Linked DNA regions of Mus musculus. The protein of the gene in region 1 purifies or fractionates together with the protein of each later gene. This does not show direct contact. Links are inferred from orthologs where the notes say so. Each region holds a gene or a part of one and is shown in the gene's direction. Other genes may lie near its edges.

What was found. Proteins that work in one complex are often made in the same cells at the same time.
Region 2: the proteins of Chd3 (region 1) and Smarcc2 fractionate together in Homo sapiens (co-fractionation; 3 studies listed by BioGRID, with this or other methods). This does not show direct contact. The link is inferred for Mus musculus from reciprocal best matches to the Homo sapiens genes CHD3 and SMARCC2.
Region 3: the proteins of Chd3 (region 1) and Zfp512b purify together in Homo sapiens (affinity purification with mass spectrometry; 3 studies listed by BioGRID and IntAct, with this or other methods). This does not show direct contact. The link is inferred for Mus musculus from reciprocal best matches to the Homo sapiens genes CHD3 and ZNF512B.

What each region holds. Positions count from the first base shown.
Region 1 is NC_000077.6:69,342,162-69,345,586, reverse strand, and holds the end of Chd3 (chromodomain-helicase-DNA-binding protein 3), read left to right. Parts: coding exon 1-116; intron 117-324; coding exon 325-451; intron 452-1,108; coding exon 1,109-1,236; coding exon of another isoform or gene 1,237-1,355; 3' UTR 1,356-2,314; downstream 2,315-3,425.
Region 2 is NC_000076.6:128,457,678-128,462,629, forward strand, and holds the start of Smarcc2 (SWI/SNF complex subunit SMARCC2), read left to right. Parts: upstream 1-1,637; 5' UTR 1,638-1,649; coding exon 1,650-1,760; intron 1,761-3,674; coding exon 3,675-3,794; intron 3,795-4,952. UniProt on the Homo sapiens protein: Involved in transcriptional activation and repression of select genes by chromatin remodeling (alteration of DNA-nucleosome topology).
Region 3 is NC_000068.7:181,589,147-181,594,036, reverse strand, and holds the start of Zfp512b (zinc finger protein 512B), read left to right. Parts: upstream 1-1,575; 5' UTR 1,576-1,616; exon of another isoform or gene 1,617-1,623; intron 1,624-3,051; 5' UTR 3,052-3,053; coding exon 3,054-3,177; intron 3,178-3,424; coding exon 3,425-3,567; intron 3,568-3,855; coding exon 3,856-3,984; coding exon of another isoform or gene 3,985-4,077; coding exon 4,078-4,664; intron 4,665-4,749; coding exon 4,750-4,890. UniProt on the Homo sapiens protein: Involved in transcriptional regulation by repressing gene expression. Associates with the nucleosome remodeling and histone deacetylase (NuRD) complex, which promotes transcriptional repression by histone deacetylation and nucleosome remodeling.

The sequences.
Region 1 (3,425 bases):
CCCGCCTGCCAGCCACGCTGTCCCGAATACCCCCCATCGCAGCCCGCCTTCAGATGTCCGAGCGCAGCATCCTCAGCCGGCTGGCCAGCAAGGGCACGGAGCCTCACCCCACACCGGTAACCCTCTTTTCCCTAACTCATTTTCCTGTCGGTGCCCGTTGTACATATACACAAACCTTCCATCAGAATCCTGCACGTGGAGGGAAGCAGCCTGCTCCCCACGGTCTGCATCCCGAGTCTCCCTGCCTAGTAACTCTGGAGCTTCATTTTTTTCCCCTCCAAACTGTGGACTCCCTAATAACCCCAGTTTGCTCTCCTATTCCAGGCCTTTCCCCCGGGTCCTTACGCCACACCTCCGGGGTACGGGGCAGCCTTCAGCGCCGCACCCGTAGGGGCCCTGGCCGCCGCAGGCGCCAATTACAGCCAGATGCCTGCAGGGTCCTTCATCACAGGTTAGACGGTGCTTCTGGTGCCTTCTTCTCCCTGACTTTATCCAAACTCCATCCCTGCTTGACTCCCCTGTCTTGCTTCAGACCTGTTCCTCTTCCTTGTCAGTGTCCAGTGTTTTAGGGAGAGTTGTTCTGGGTTGTTCTGTCCATCATCCCCTTGTATCCCTTCTGTCCCCATGTCAACAACCCCAACCAGGAGGCTGAGGCAGAGCAGGGTTCCTGAGAGTCCTCAGGCTAGCCTGAGCTTCTGTGAGATGCTAGCTCCAAAAAGAAACCAGCTGGGTGTGGTGGTACACAGTAAATCCCAGCAATTGGGAGGCACAAACAGGTGGTTCTCTGTGAGTTCTAGTTCAAGAACAGCCATGTAGGAAAACCCTGTCTCAAAAAAACAAGAAAGCAAAAGCCTTACCCATCGTATGGTTTCATATCGCCCACTTGAGCTTCCTCTACCTGGTTTCCTCAAGGGGAAGTGAATGTGAATTCAGAAAAGCCAGAGAGTTAGACCTGTCACATCTTGGTACAAGAGGAATCTAATCCTTCTACATTTATAAGAAAAATCAGAAGTGGCAGGAAATGACTTAGCAGTAAGGATAGGTTGTTCTCAGGGAGTGATATTTGGAATGTGGGGGCTGACTTTTTCTTACCTGTCTCCCCAAACAGCCACCACCAACGGCCCTCCAGTGCTGGTGAAGAAAGAGAAGGAAATGGTGGGGGCGTTGGTATCAGACGGGCTGGGGCTGGATCGGAAGGAGCCCCGAGCAGGGGAGGTGATTTGTATAGACGACTGACTGGATCCCAGGCCTGCCCTTCACCTAGGCCCCGACCCCGGAGCCGACCCACATCTCAGGCCTTGGGGCCTGTTGCCAACCCTCCACCTTCCCCACCCCTTGGGCCACCACTGGGCTAGGAGCCCTTTTGCCCCTCTATAATGCCTCCCTTCAAGAGGACCCCTATCTCTCTCCACCTCCACACACCTTTCCCACCAAACCTTGAAGACTGTGCTGGTGTGAAGAGGTCTAGGTGGGAGATGGTTAACAGGGTCTTCCAAGTACCTGGATGCCCCACCACCAAATATACACAGCTTCCCAATAAATGATTGTCCGGGAGGGAGGAGGTGGAGCCTCCCAGGCCTTTCTTGTAGTATCACCTCCACCTCCTGCCAAAGTGGGGGATTAGCCTTGCCCGGCCTTTAGGAACTTCTATGAGATCATCAAAGAGGAGGGGAACCTTGTTACAAAGATGAAAATAGCGGGAGGAGGAAGGGAAGGGGGGGGGGCTGCATGGCACTTTTCCTCCCTCTTCCAAATGGAGGGTACAACAGCTACAAGTGAGAGAGAGCGAGCTGATTGCTGTTCACTGGCTCGGTTACCTCCTGTGTGTCAGCATCTTGCAGTAGGAACTGTTCTCCTCCCCAGGGACCAAGGACCACCCCACAGAGTAAGGGTTGGGTGATTCTCCCTCAAGCCAAAGAGGAGCTCCCCAGCCTGTTCTAGGTGACCTAGAAAGGGTGGGGGGAACACAGAGGGCCAGGCATGGGGCAGACCCCCACGCTGGGGCTCAGGTTTCTAGGGGACGAAATCCTCCCTCTTCAAGGCCTGGATACAGACTAAATTTGAGTAGGTCAGGCCAGGGACCTAGTCAGGAGCCTGTCTTGCCTGTGGGACCGAGCAACACAGTGGATATCAGGCTAGGGAGATTCGGGCACATTCCCCCTCCAAGGAGGGGCCAGGGAGTGGCAGTTTGCATGGGGAACCCCCATATCCTCCTTGCCGCCTTTCCCAGTCTTTCTCTCCCACTCCTGGTCTGTCCCAATCCCTTCTTCTGTATCAGGTTATCGGTTGTACATATAAATTATACTTTCCTTTCTGCGTGCTGTCATTTTTGCCTGGGGAGGGGAATTTTTTGTGTGGAGGTAAAGTAAGGATGACTGCTTTGTACTGTTTCATCTTAATAGGTTCCCTGGGGGCCCCTTGCATTGTTGTTGTTTTTTGTTTTGTTTTTTTTTTTTGAGACAGGGTTTCTCTGTGTAGCCCTGGCTGTCCTGAAACTCACTTTGTAGACCAGGCTGGCCTCAAACTCAGAAATCCGCCTGCCTCTGCCTCCCAAGTGCTGGGATTAAAGGCGTGCGCCACCACCGCCCAGCTACTAATCCCTTTTCTACTTTGTGACTTTTCTGCATTTTTATCTCTTGAATCATTCACCAGAATAAGACCTTTTTCCAGTATTAAGCACAGGATGAGCTCAGCACAGAGCTGGTGAGTGGTAGGATCCTTGAGGTCCCAAAGGCAGGTGCCAAGAGCAGAGGGAGCCGCCTGCCTGACACTGAAAGCCACCTCCCCAGAGTCAGCAGAGGTCACCACAGCACCACAGCTCCACTGTGGAGCAGACACCTTGTTTTATTTTGTTTTAAAGAACTGGGATGACTGTGGTGTCCCTGAACTGTTGGACAGAACTCCGTCTTAGTCAATAACGTTATTCAATAACAGTCTTTCACAGATTGAATGAGCCCAGATACTTTATTCTAGAGACTATTACATTCAAAATAAATTCAGCAAACATTTTTTTTTGAATACATATAACATTAACACTGCTATCGGCTCTGGAGATAGTCACTTGAAATTTATACTCTAGAAATACTCAAAACATAAAATAGCAGAAAATAAACATAGCATTCCCTTTGGCAACACGTATAGAGAAAACATACACATTCCCACAGATGCATGCTGGCCTCCAAAAGGGGAGATTTCAGCTGGAACCGAAGGACAGGAAAAAGACAAAACATTTTACAAATGGAGGTTTATACCCTAGAACTACATACATTATTTGTCATTAAAAACAAAATCTTGAAGACCTCTGAAAACTGAGGCCTTGTAAATTCACATTTGTAGCTCAGAAAAATTTTTCTCAAAAGAATGTCACTTTGGCACTTTAATGCGTCACTAGTGTTTTAAATGTTCCACCTACAGCTGATGATGCC
Region 2 (4,952 bases), on another chromosome or scaffold:
AAACCAGGAGCTCCATGAATTCTCAGAGATCCTTTCCTGGAGAAGGTTTTGCTATGCAAGAAATGAAATATAAAAAGAACTGGGTAACATGAGAGGGTTAGAGCCTGAGAAAGGAATTCCCTTGCTTGGTTAATATACACAGATTTTAACCAGCCTCTGGTGCCCAACAAATCCTCAACGTAGGCCTCCTCCTAGTCCCGTGATACCTGAGGTTATCTCAGGAAAACTCAAATGAGGGCTAGGGAATGTAGCGAAACAGAATGCTTACCTATCGAACAAATTGAACCCCTGGATTCAGTTCCGAGCCGCAAAGGATCCTGGCATGCTCAGGCACACCTGTAACTCCTAGTACTTGAGAGGTAGAGGCAGGAGGATCAGAAATTTAAAGTCATTCTTGGCTGCAAGGCAAGTTCAAGGGCAGCCTGTGCACATGAGTCCCTGTCTAAATTAAAAAGAAAAATCCAAATGAGAAACGCTTGTTTCTGTGTCTCCAGTCACCAGACTTCAAGGCTCCACTTTTGGTCACAAACTCCAAAGATGCCCTGTTTAGAAATCTTAGGTTTGACTAGCTTTCCCAAACAAAACGACTACTCTTCATTGTTATGAAATGTTACAGAATTCTCAAAAATATCTCAAAGTGCCTGGTATCCTAACAGCGAATACAGCGATGCCCAATTTGGTTTGTATGTCACCCTGGTCTAACCTAAAGGAGTAGTGCTGCCTTTTCACTTTCAACCACTCAACTACTGGTTAATAGGAGGGGGGAAAAAAAATACGAAAAACTGCCGTCACGAACAGGATTCGAACCTGTGCGGGGAAACCCCATTGGATTTCGAGTCCAACGCCTTAACCACTCGGCCACCGTGACTCCCAAAACTATGGTTGGCCGCGCGCTTACAGAAAGGGTCCGCACGGGTGACTGGGTGCGAGCGGACCGGTGCAGGGTCGCGGCCCGAGGCTCGTACCCAGAGCCGCTCCCTCCCTCGCACCTTCGCGCCACAATGCTTGAACCTGGGTCGAAGAATCGGGGCTCGCCAGCCGACTCCTAAAGCGGAGGCGACTGGCGAGACCCGAAGATCAGAGGGAGGAGACCCCTCACCTGACCCCCCCGGGTAGCACCAGGGGTGCTGGGTGCACCGGGACGAGGAGCGTCAGGGACACTCGTGGGTTGAAACAGGAATGGTTGGAAGGAACTTATTGGAGCGAAAGAGTTCCACGGGAACGTACGTGCCGGGGGCCACTCGGGGTTACGGGGCGGAGCTGCAGACCCGGGGCTCCCGGCTTCCCCGTGGAGTGGAACAGTAAGCCCCACTGCCGCTGCGAGACCAAGTCGGGGAGGGCTCCGCTGTCCTACAGCCGCGTCCTGCGAGACCCGGGGAAGCAGCCGGGCTGCCGCTGCGGGGAAGTCCGCCGAGCGCGCTCGGGCTCGCCCGCCTCCCACCGCCGCTGCTGCCGGGGTGTCCGCCGAGCGCGCTCGGGCTCGCCCGCCACCGCTACGCAGGGCCGCCGGCAGGGGGCGCTCCGCCGGCCGGGGCCCAGGCGGCGGGAGGCGGCGGTCGTGGCGGCGGGAGGCGGCGGGAGGCGGGCGGAGGAGGAGGCGGGAGCTGAGCTGAGCGGGGCGGGCGGCGGCGGGGCCCGAGCCCGAGAAGATGGCGGTGCGGAAGAAGGACGGCGGCCCCAACGTGAAGTACTACGAGGCCGCGGACACCGTGACCCAGTTCGACAACGTGCGGCTCTGGCTCGGCAAGAACTACAAGAAGGTACGCGGGCAGCGCCGCGCGGGGACAAAGGGCCCCTGGCCGCCGCTCCCGGGGCCGGCCCACCCTGCGGCGGCCGCCGCGCCCCTCCCCGAGGCCTCCCCGCGCCTCCCGCCCGCCCGCCCGCGCCCCTCCCCCACCCCTCCCCCACCGTGCCCTCTGCCCCGGTGCAGCGCAGCGGCGTTGGCGGGGGCGGCGGCGGCTCCGGGCGGCGGCCCGGGCCCGGCAGCCCTCGCCCTCCAGGCTGACCGGTGCCGCCGCGCGCCTCCTCCCCTCCGGTGTGCGAGCCGCGGGGCCCCCGCCGGAGCCCCGCGCCGAGCCAGACGCCAGAGCGGCCCAGGCCTCCCCGGTGGTGCTTTGTGTACGTCCTGAGACAGATGGCAGAGCAGGAGGGTAGACGGGCGCGGAGCAGGCCGTTGAAAAGCGTCTCTACCTGGGGAAATCACCTGTCTCCCAGGGTTACCCTAGTCTCCTTCTAAAGGGCTGCAAACCTCTCAGGGGACAGGACATGGCAGTCTAGGGCAGCAGCCCCTCCAACCCTCCTTTCATAATGAAGTCCTCTGCAAGCCAGCCAGCCTGGCATTGCTTTGGGTTTGAGGTCCAGAGGCTCGGATAAGCTTCATATCGCTAGTCCCCACCCCCACCCTGTAACTGGAAATAAGGATGGGGAACAAAAGGGTTCAAGAAGCCCTATCTATCTTTTTTTTTTTTTTTAACCAATTTTTATTCTTGTGTCTTCATGGTGTCTGGGCTTTTTTTCGTTTTTCTTTTTTGTCTTCGATATGGGCTGCTTCCTCACCAACCCCGGCTAAGGGTTCTTTTCCCTTGCTTTGTTTTACAGCCCCCAACTCTTGCTACTCCAGCCTTGCAGCCAGCCTGTCAGAGTACAGTGGACAGCTTCAGAAAGCTCCACTAATTCTGGTTTGAGTTTAGCCCTGAAACCATTTGGGGTCTCTCTGTTGGGTGTCAGACTCTTGACAAACAGCTGTTGGGTCTGTGACTTGTGTGCACCCTCAGCGTGAGGCTCTGGTTCCCAGTTTTCTGCCTTTGACCTTTTAAAGGGAGATCGGTCTAGGGTCTTGGTGTGAAGCCCCGAAGGCTTTGACAGCTGTGACCTGCTTCAGCTTTCAAGTGCTTAACTCTTTGTCATTTACTTCTCCCTTCACGGATCTCTTTATACCTCCCACCGAGAGGTGCTGACTCTAATTAGGGTAGAGGAAATAAGGGTCAAAAGGTAAAGAGAAAGTAGCTTCCTGGCTCAGTGAACAGAACAGAAAGGTAGGATCCCAGGTAGCAAGGTAGGTATGGTACGGAAGTGTTTGAGTTCACGGATTCCCGGCGGTTGTCTTACTACTTATTTATCAAGCTGGGTGGGTGGTCTGAGATCCTTGCTAGAGAGGAGACCCTACAATGCCAACCATGCCTGGCTTCAGTAGAAGCAAAATGTGCAGGCTTTAGTTTTTAAGTGAGCATGTCCTGCCTCACTCCCTTGCTCTCTTAACACACCATTATGGACGGAAGCCTAGTCTTTATCATGTTTCCCCCAAGAAATACATTGTTGTATCACTTAGAGACTCAAAGGGGTTTTTGTTTCCCTTGAGCTCCATCAACCTTCAGAATTTTTACAGTTGGTTGGAGGTGAGGTGCCGAGATAGCGGTGTCCTGCCATTCCAACGTCAGGGTACAGCCAAGGAAGAGTATAAAGCGTCACTCGCTGCCAGTCCTCAGTCCCGGTCACCTGGGCTGGTGGCAATAGGGTCCAGTCCCTCCTGAAGCCCTCTATATATAAACTAGACCTGTGGAGGGGAAGGCGCAATTCTGTCTGTTCCAGGTGCTTCCAGGAACTCACGGAGAGACGTGGGTGGTGGTAGAGAATTTATCTGGAATCTGTTTTTCTTCCCTTCCCTCCTTCCCAAGTACATACAAGCAGAACCGCCAACCAACAAGTCTCTGTCCAGCCTGGTGGTGCAGTTGCTCCAGTTTCAGGAAGAGGTTTTTGGCAAACATGTCAGCAACGCACCGCTTACTAAACTGCCGGTGAGTTCAAGGGGAGGGGGACAAATCCTCCGAACTGGGAAGAGGTTTTTCGTTTGTTTTGCTCTTTAAAAAAATTTTTTTTCTACGTGCCTGTAATCCAGAATTAGGGAGATTGAGACTGGCGAATCAAAAGTTGGAGACCAGACTGATCTATATAGCAATTCAAAGACAGTGTGTGTGTAGTACCATGTCGAAAAAGAAAAGCAAAACTCATCTTTTTCAAATTTCAAATTTTGGGGAGTTTTTTTTTTTTCCTTGTCCATCAATAGTCAGAGCATTACAGCTTGACCTAGCCCCCAGTTGATCATTCCTGTTATTTTAGAAAAACTTCACAACCCGTAGTAATCTGAGAATGTCAGGTTTAGTCCTGCAGTGTTTCTCTCTCTCTTTCATGGTTGTTCTTGGGGGCTGAAGAGATAGCTCAGTGGCTAAGAGCACTCACAGAGGACCTAGGTTCAATTCCTAGTACCCACATAGCAGCTTACAAACATCCCTAGCTTCCGTTCCAGGGCATCTGATGCCTTCTGAGCATCATGGGCATGCAGGAAAAGCACTCACACATGCAGAAGAAATAAATCCTAAACCGGGTGTGGTGGTGCATGCCTTTAATCCCAGCACTCGGGAGGCAGAGGCAGGCAGATTTCTGAGTTCGAGGCCAGCCTGGCCTACAAAGTGAGCTCCAGGACAGCCAGGGCTACACAGAGAAACCCTGTCTCGAAAAACAACATCAACAATAAAAAAGAAAGAAAGAAAGGAAGAAAGGAAGGAAGAAAGAAGCCCTAAAAAGTTAAAAAAAAAAAAAAAAGTGAGGCTTTAGGTCAGATATGGTGATACACCTGGAGTGTCCACTACTTAGAAGCCTGGTTCAGGAAGATTACTGATTCAAGCCAGCCTAGGAAACTTAACAACAACAACAAATTTAAGAAAAGGGATCCTGGAGGTATAGTCCTAACAGAGCACTTGTCTAAACTGTGAGAGGCCCTGAATTCTGTCTTTAGTAACACAAAGGAAGGGGTAGCCCAGTGGATAAAGTACCTAGAACTACTCACATGGGTGGAAGGAGAGAACCGACAGCCTGTGATGTCCATTAGTGTACACATACACACATAACATATATATTACACACACACACATATATACACATACATATCCATACAT
Region 3 (4,890 bases), on another chromosome or scaffold:
CACATGGTCACTTAGACATGTAATAACCTATGGGCATTGGTATATCACACTTGTGAAAACTCAGACTTACACAGGGAAAGTTGAACACACCTTTGTGTGCACACTGATCCCCACCAACAGTCTGATGTTCCACATCCTGGGAGACTCACAAAAGGTAAAAGACGTCTTTAATCCCAGCATATGGGAGGCAGAGACGGGCAGATCTCTGAGTTTGATGCTGGCCTGGTCTACAAAGGGCTACATAGTGAAAAGTTGTTTTAGAAAAAACAGTGGGGGGGGGGGGCTGGAGAGATGGCTCAGTGGTTAAGAGCGCAGACTGCTCTTCCAGAGGTCCTCAGTTCAATTCCCAGCAACCACATAGTGGCTCACAACCATGTGTAATGGGATCTGATGCCCTCTTCTGATGTGTCTGAAGACAGCTACAGTGTACTCACATACATAACATAAATAAATCTTAAAAAAAAAAAAAAACAGTGGGCATGGCTGAGAACATGTAACAGTATTATGACTCAAATGAAAGCTGAATTTTTCCCTTCCCTATTGAGTGCTCCTGTGGAGCCCCAGGCTTTGCATTCTACCTCCTTATCAGCCAGTTGGCCCTTCCTAGTCTGTCAAAAGGGTGTTTATTTCTCTGCCTCATTTATTTCCCCTTCCTAGTCTGTCAAAAGGGTGTTTATTTCTCTGCCTCATTTATTTCCAAGTTGTGTGGGCTGTGCTGTCATCCTCCCACCCACCCCCTAGATCTTACACTAGCAGCCCAGGCTCGGGGCCAGAGAAGTTAGATACTTACTGGCTGTTGGTCTAGGACCACACTGTTCACAAAGAAGGGAGAAGTTGATTCAATAGCCAGTGACCGCAATAAGGCCTATCGGTCTTCGTGTCTAGATTAAGGTGGCCTAAGGGACAGATAGAGGCTGAGGTGCCCCCTGACAGCCTACAGATGTCCTATAACCCTTCATAGGATCTACTTCAGCCAGCGCAACCACACCGGTTGCTTAATCCGTCAGGCAGGATTTGCGGTAGTGTCCAGAGTTCCTGACGTGCCTCAGTTTACTGGACTGTCCACAAAGCGACTCTTGCCCAAGGCACGCGTGACCGATCGCTCGGCCCTGGAGGCCAGGACCACCTGGGCCACGGACCGCACTGCCCGGAGCGGCGGAACGGCCCCACCGGCCCCTTCCCCGCAGCGGCGGCCGCGTGAATACCGCGAGAGTTCGCCCCCCTCCCCCCCGCAGTAAAACTGTCAAAGGTAGGAGGGGCGGGAGCGCGCATGTGCGCAGCACGGCGCGGAGTGTGCGCCGCCCGGACCCCGCGCCCCGCGCCCCGCGCCCCGGCCCGGCTCTGGCTCCGGCCTGGCCCGGCCGCACCCCTTGGGCGCTGCAGGTAAGCGCCGGCCCTGCCCGCTTTACCGCGGCCCCGGCGCCACACGCGCCCCGCACCAGCCCTGTGCCCAGCCCGCCTCCCCGCCGCGCCCGGACCCGCGCCGCGCCCCGCTCCCCGCGTCGGCGCCGTCCTCCCGCCTCCTCCTCCAGAAAAAGTCGCCATTTTGGTTCACTGCCTTCGCCCCCCCGCGGTCGGCGCTTCCGGGCCAGGCTGCAGCCCGCGTCCGGCCTCAGGTGACAGGTGGGTGGCCACGGGCCTCCAGGTGCGCCTCTTGGCTGCGCTCGTCCGGGGCCGGGCGGAGTGGCCTGCGTCCGCGGCAGCGCCCTCCTCCCTGGAGGCTACAAGGGAGATCGCAGGGACCCCAGGTGGAGGAGGGGTTTTCTTCCTACTCCGGCGGCCAGGCCTTACCCCTAACTCTGAAAGACTAGAAGGTTGCAGCAGGCCGTATAACCCGGACCTCAAATGTAATCGGGGTTCTGGATAACTCATTTCCTTATGAAGCTGCAAAACGAGGACATCCAGAGAACTTTAGTTGACTTCAGACCCCCCCTCCCCTCCCCTCCCCTCCCCTAGGCCCAGGATGGGGGTGTTGTCCTTGGCAATGAACGGTGATTGACCTTAGACCTCCTGGATAACGCAGCCCCTACACATCCCCTCTGATTTGAGTTGATCAAAAACTGTTAGGAGAGGACTCACCTGCTTGAACCTTGCTCTTTGGTACCGCCCCCTTCTGTGGCTTTGGGTGCCTCTGCGAGGCCTCACCATTCTATGCTTAGAGCCTTCCTCGGTTTTCAGGGTATGTGATGCTGCAAGCAGAACAGTCCCCAGAGGCCCAACCCCAGGGCAGCAGCATGCATACTCTATAGCCTCTGCTTGCCAGTATTGACTATAACTTGTTTAGCTGAAGTGGCTTCCTAGGCAGGGAACCTAGAAGCTATTGAAAATAAGAAGAAATGGTGGCTGCCTAGGCTGTGGTGGCTGAGGGTCTGATGTGGTGTATTCATCTGGGTGGAGGGGCCCTGTCTGCACAGAAGGCTGAGAAGGCAGGCAGGTAGGATAGCTCAGCATGGGACTAAAGTGTATTTCTAGTGGATCTTCACTTTACCAACCAGAGGGATGAGTGCATGTGGTGGGGACATGGGCCTTCAGGACCCATATTGGCTTCTTTGCCTAGAGAGAGGTCTTCAAGGGCTCTTATCTGAGTAGGTTAGTATTGTGTATCTAGATGGCAGGGGCCAGGACTCTGAGGAGAAGCTATCCCTGAGGTGTGGTGATGTGGCTGCCTGTGAGCCAGCAACCATTACTAGTGTTAATTGTCCCCTATGAGGAATATTATCAGTCTTCTTCAATTGCGTGGACCCTCTGAAGACAGGCTGATCCTCAGCAGCCTTTGGTCTTTGTGTGTCTAGATGAGGGTGTAGGTGAGGGTGTCAAATGTAGTAAGAGTCTTGGCTCTTTCTACACTTCTCATGTCTTCTGGGTTATTTAGAAAGACCTTGTCTGGGCAAACCCCCTTCTCTAAGTTAGAAGCTTCCATTACTTGCTTTTTGATGTGATCAATATAGGAGGTCAGGGCTAGAGAGACATATTGAGGGCCTCTAGGATAGCCCCAGTGAAAGTCCTGGGTTGAGCCTGTTCGTCTCATAGGTCTGTGTACTTACTCTGCAGAGATGACTGAATCCTTTTGTGTTGGAGGAGGCCGTCGGCTTCAAGGATCCAGCAAAAGTGGACCTGGAAAGGGAGGCAGCCGGAAGGAGGCCCAACTTCCCTTGTTGCAGGACCCACCAAAGCTAGGTGAGGAGCTAAGGCAGAAATCAGTTCTAGAGGATACAGATAGCCAGTGGTAGAGTTACCTCCTTGGGTATCCTGAGGACCTTTGTGGGGTGGAGATTGTCAGCCTTATTGTAGCCATGCTCTTGTCCTGGGTTAACTCCAGCCACTGGGCCTTTATCTGGGTGAGCCAAGACTCAGTCTGGGCCACCGCCCTTGGGGGTCGGTGATATTGGGCAACCACTGAGCCTTACTGTCTCCTGTACTATAGGGATGCCAGTGGTCCACAGTGGACATACAGTGCCTAGCCAGGCCCCACTCTGCTTTGACCCTGGAAACTCAGCCAGTGACAAGACAGAAGGGAAGAAAAAAGGGAGGCCGAAAGCCGAGAACCAAGCTCTCCGAGATATTCCTGTGAGCTCCCTGAGGGTTAGAGTGGGGTCCATTCAATTTAGTCTGTGAAGGCCACTTCCATGCCCTTACCAGCCCTCCATATATCCTGTGCCAGTTTGTTTGAGCATGTACCCTAGGGCCCTTGTGTCTGTTACAAAGTCCCAGTGGGCTGTGAGTAGTCATCAGCATAGGTCTGCAGCATGGCTTGAATTCCTGGTCTGCTCTTGAGGTTGAAGGGCTTATTTGGCTTGGGGGAACTTTAAGTCTGGGTAGCTACAGGTCAGCAGCTTGGCCTTTTCCTCTGCCCAGCTCTCTCTGATGAACCAGTGGAAAGATGAATTCAAGGCACACTCAAGGGTGAAGTGTCCAAACTCAGGGTGCTGGCTAGAGTTCCCCAGCATCTATGGGCTCAAGTACCACTATCAGCGGTGCCAAGGGGTAAGGGGCTGTGGGCCAGGGAAGAGGAGGCCTGGGGGTGCATCTGGGCAGAGGCCCCCGGGGCCCCATCCCACACCTGCCCTCCCTGCCCAGGGTGCTATCTCAGATAGGCTGGCCTTCCCTTGCCCCTTCTGCGAGGCCGCATTCACTTCCAAGACCCAGCTGGAGAAGCACCGGATATGGAATCACATGGACCACCCCCTACCTGCCCCCAAGCCTGGCCCAGTCAGCCGGCCGGTCACCATCAGCCGGCCTGTTGGGGTCAGCAAGCCCATCGGAGTGAGCAAACCTGTTACTGTTGGCAAACCAGTGGGTGTCAGCAAGCCCATTGGCATCAGTAAGCCAGTCACAGTCAGTAGGCCTATACCAGTCACCAAACCTGTCACAGTCAGTAGGCCCATGCAAGTCTCTAGGCCTGTGCCAGTCACCAAGCCCATCCCAATTACCAAACCTGTGCCACTCACCAAACATATGCCAGTTACCAAGCTTGTGACAGTTTCAAAACCTGTGCCACTCACCAAGCCAGTACCAGTCAGCAGGCCCATTGTGGTCAGCAAGCCTGTGCCGGTCAGCAGGCCCATCGCCATCAGCAGACACATACCACCCTGCAAAATGGTGTTGCTGTCCAAATCTGAGAACAAAACACTTCGTGCTACAGGCAAGAACAGCAATAAGAAAAGGTATGGGAGGTCATTTGAGGTGGTTGTCAGCTGTGCCAGGAGCGGGTGAGGTTTGCCTGGATCTCACCTTGCCTGCCACTTGCAGGGCTGCAGACAGTTTGGACACCTGCCCCATCCTGTCCAAGCAGGCAAGGCCAGAGAATGGAGCATACGGCCCATCCAGCATGGACCAGAGTGTGACCTTCCCACTGAGTACAGATCCTAGCGGCAGCAGGCCCCTGATGGG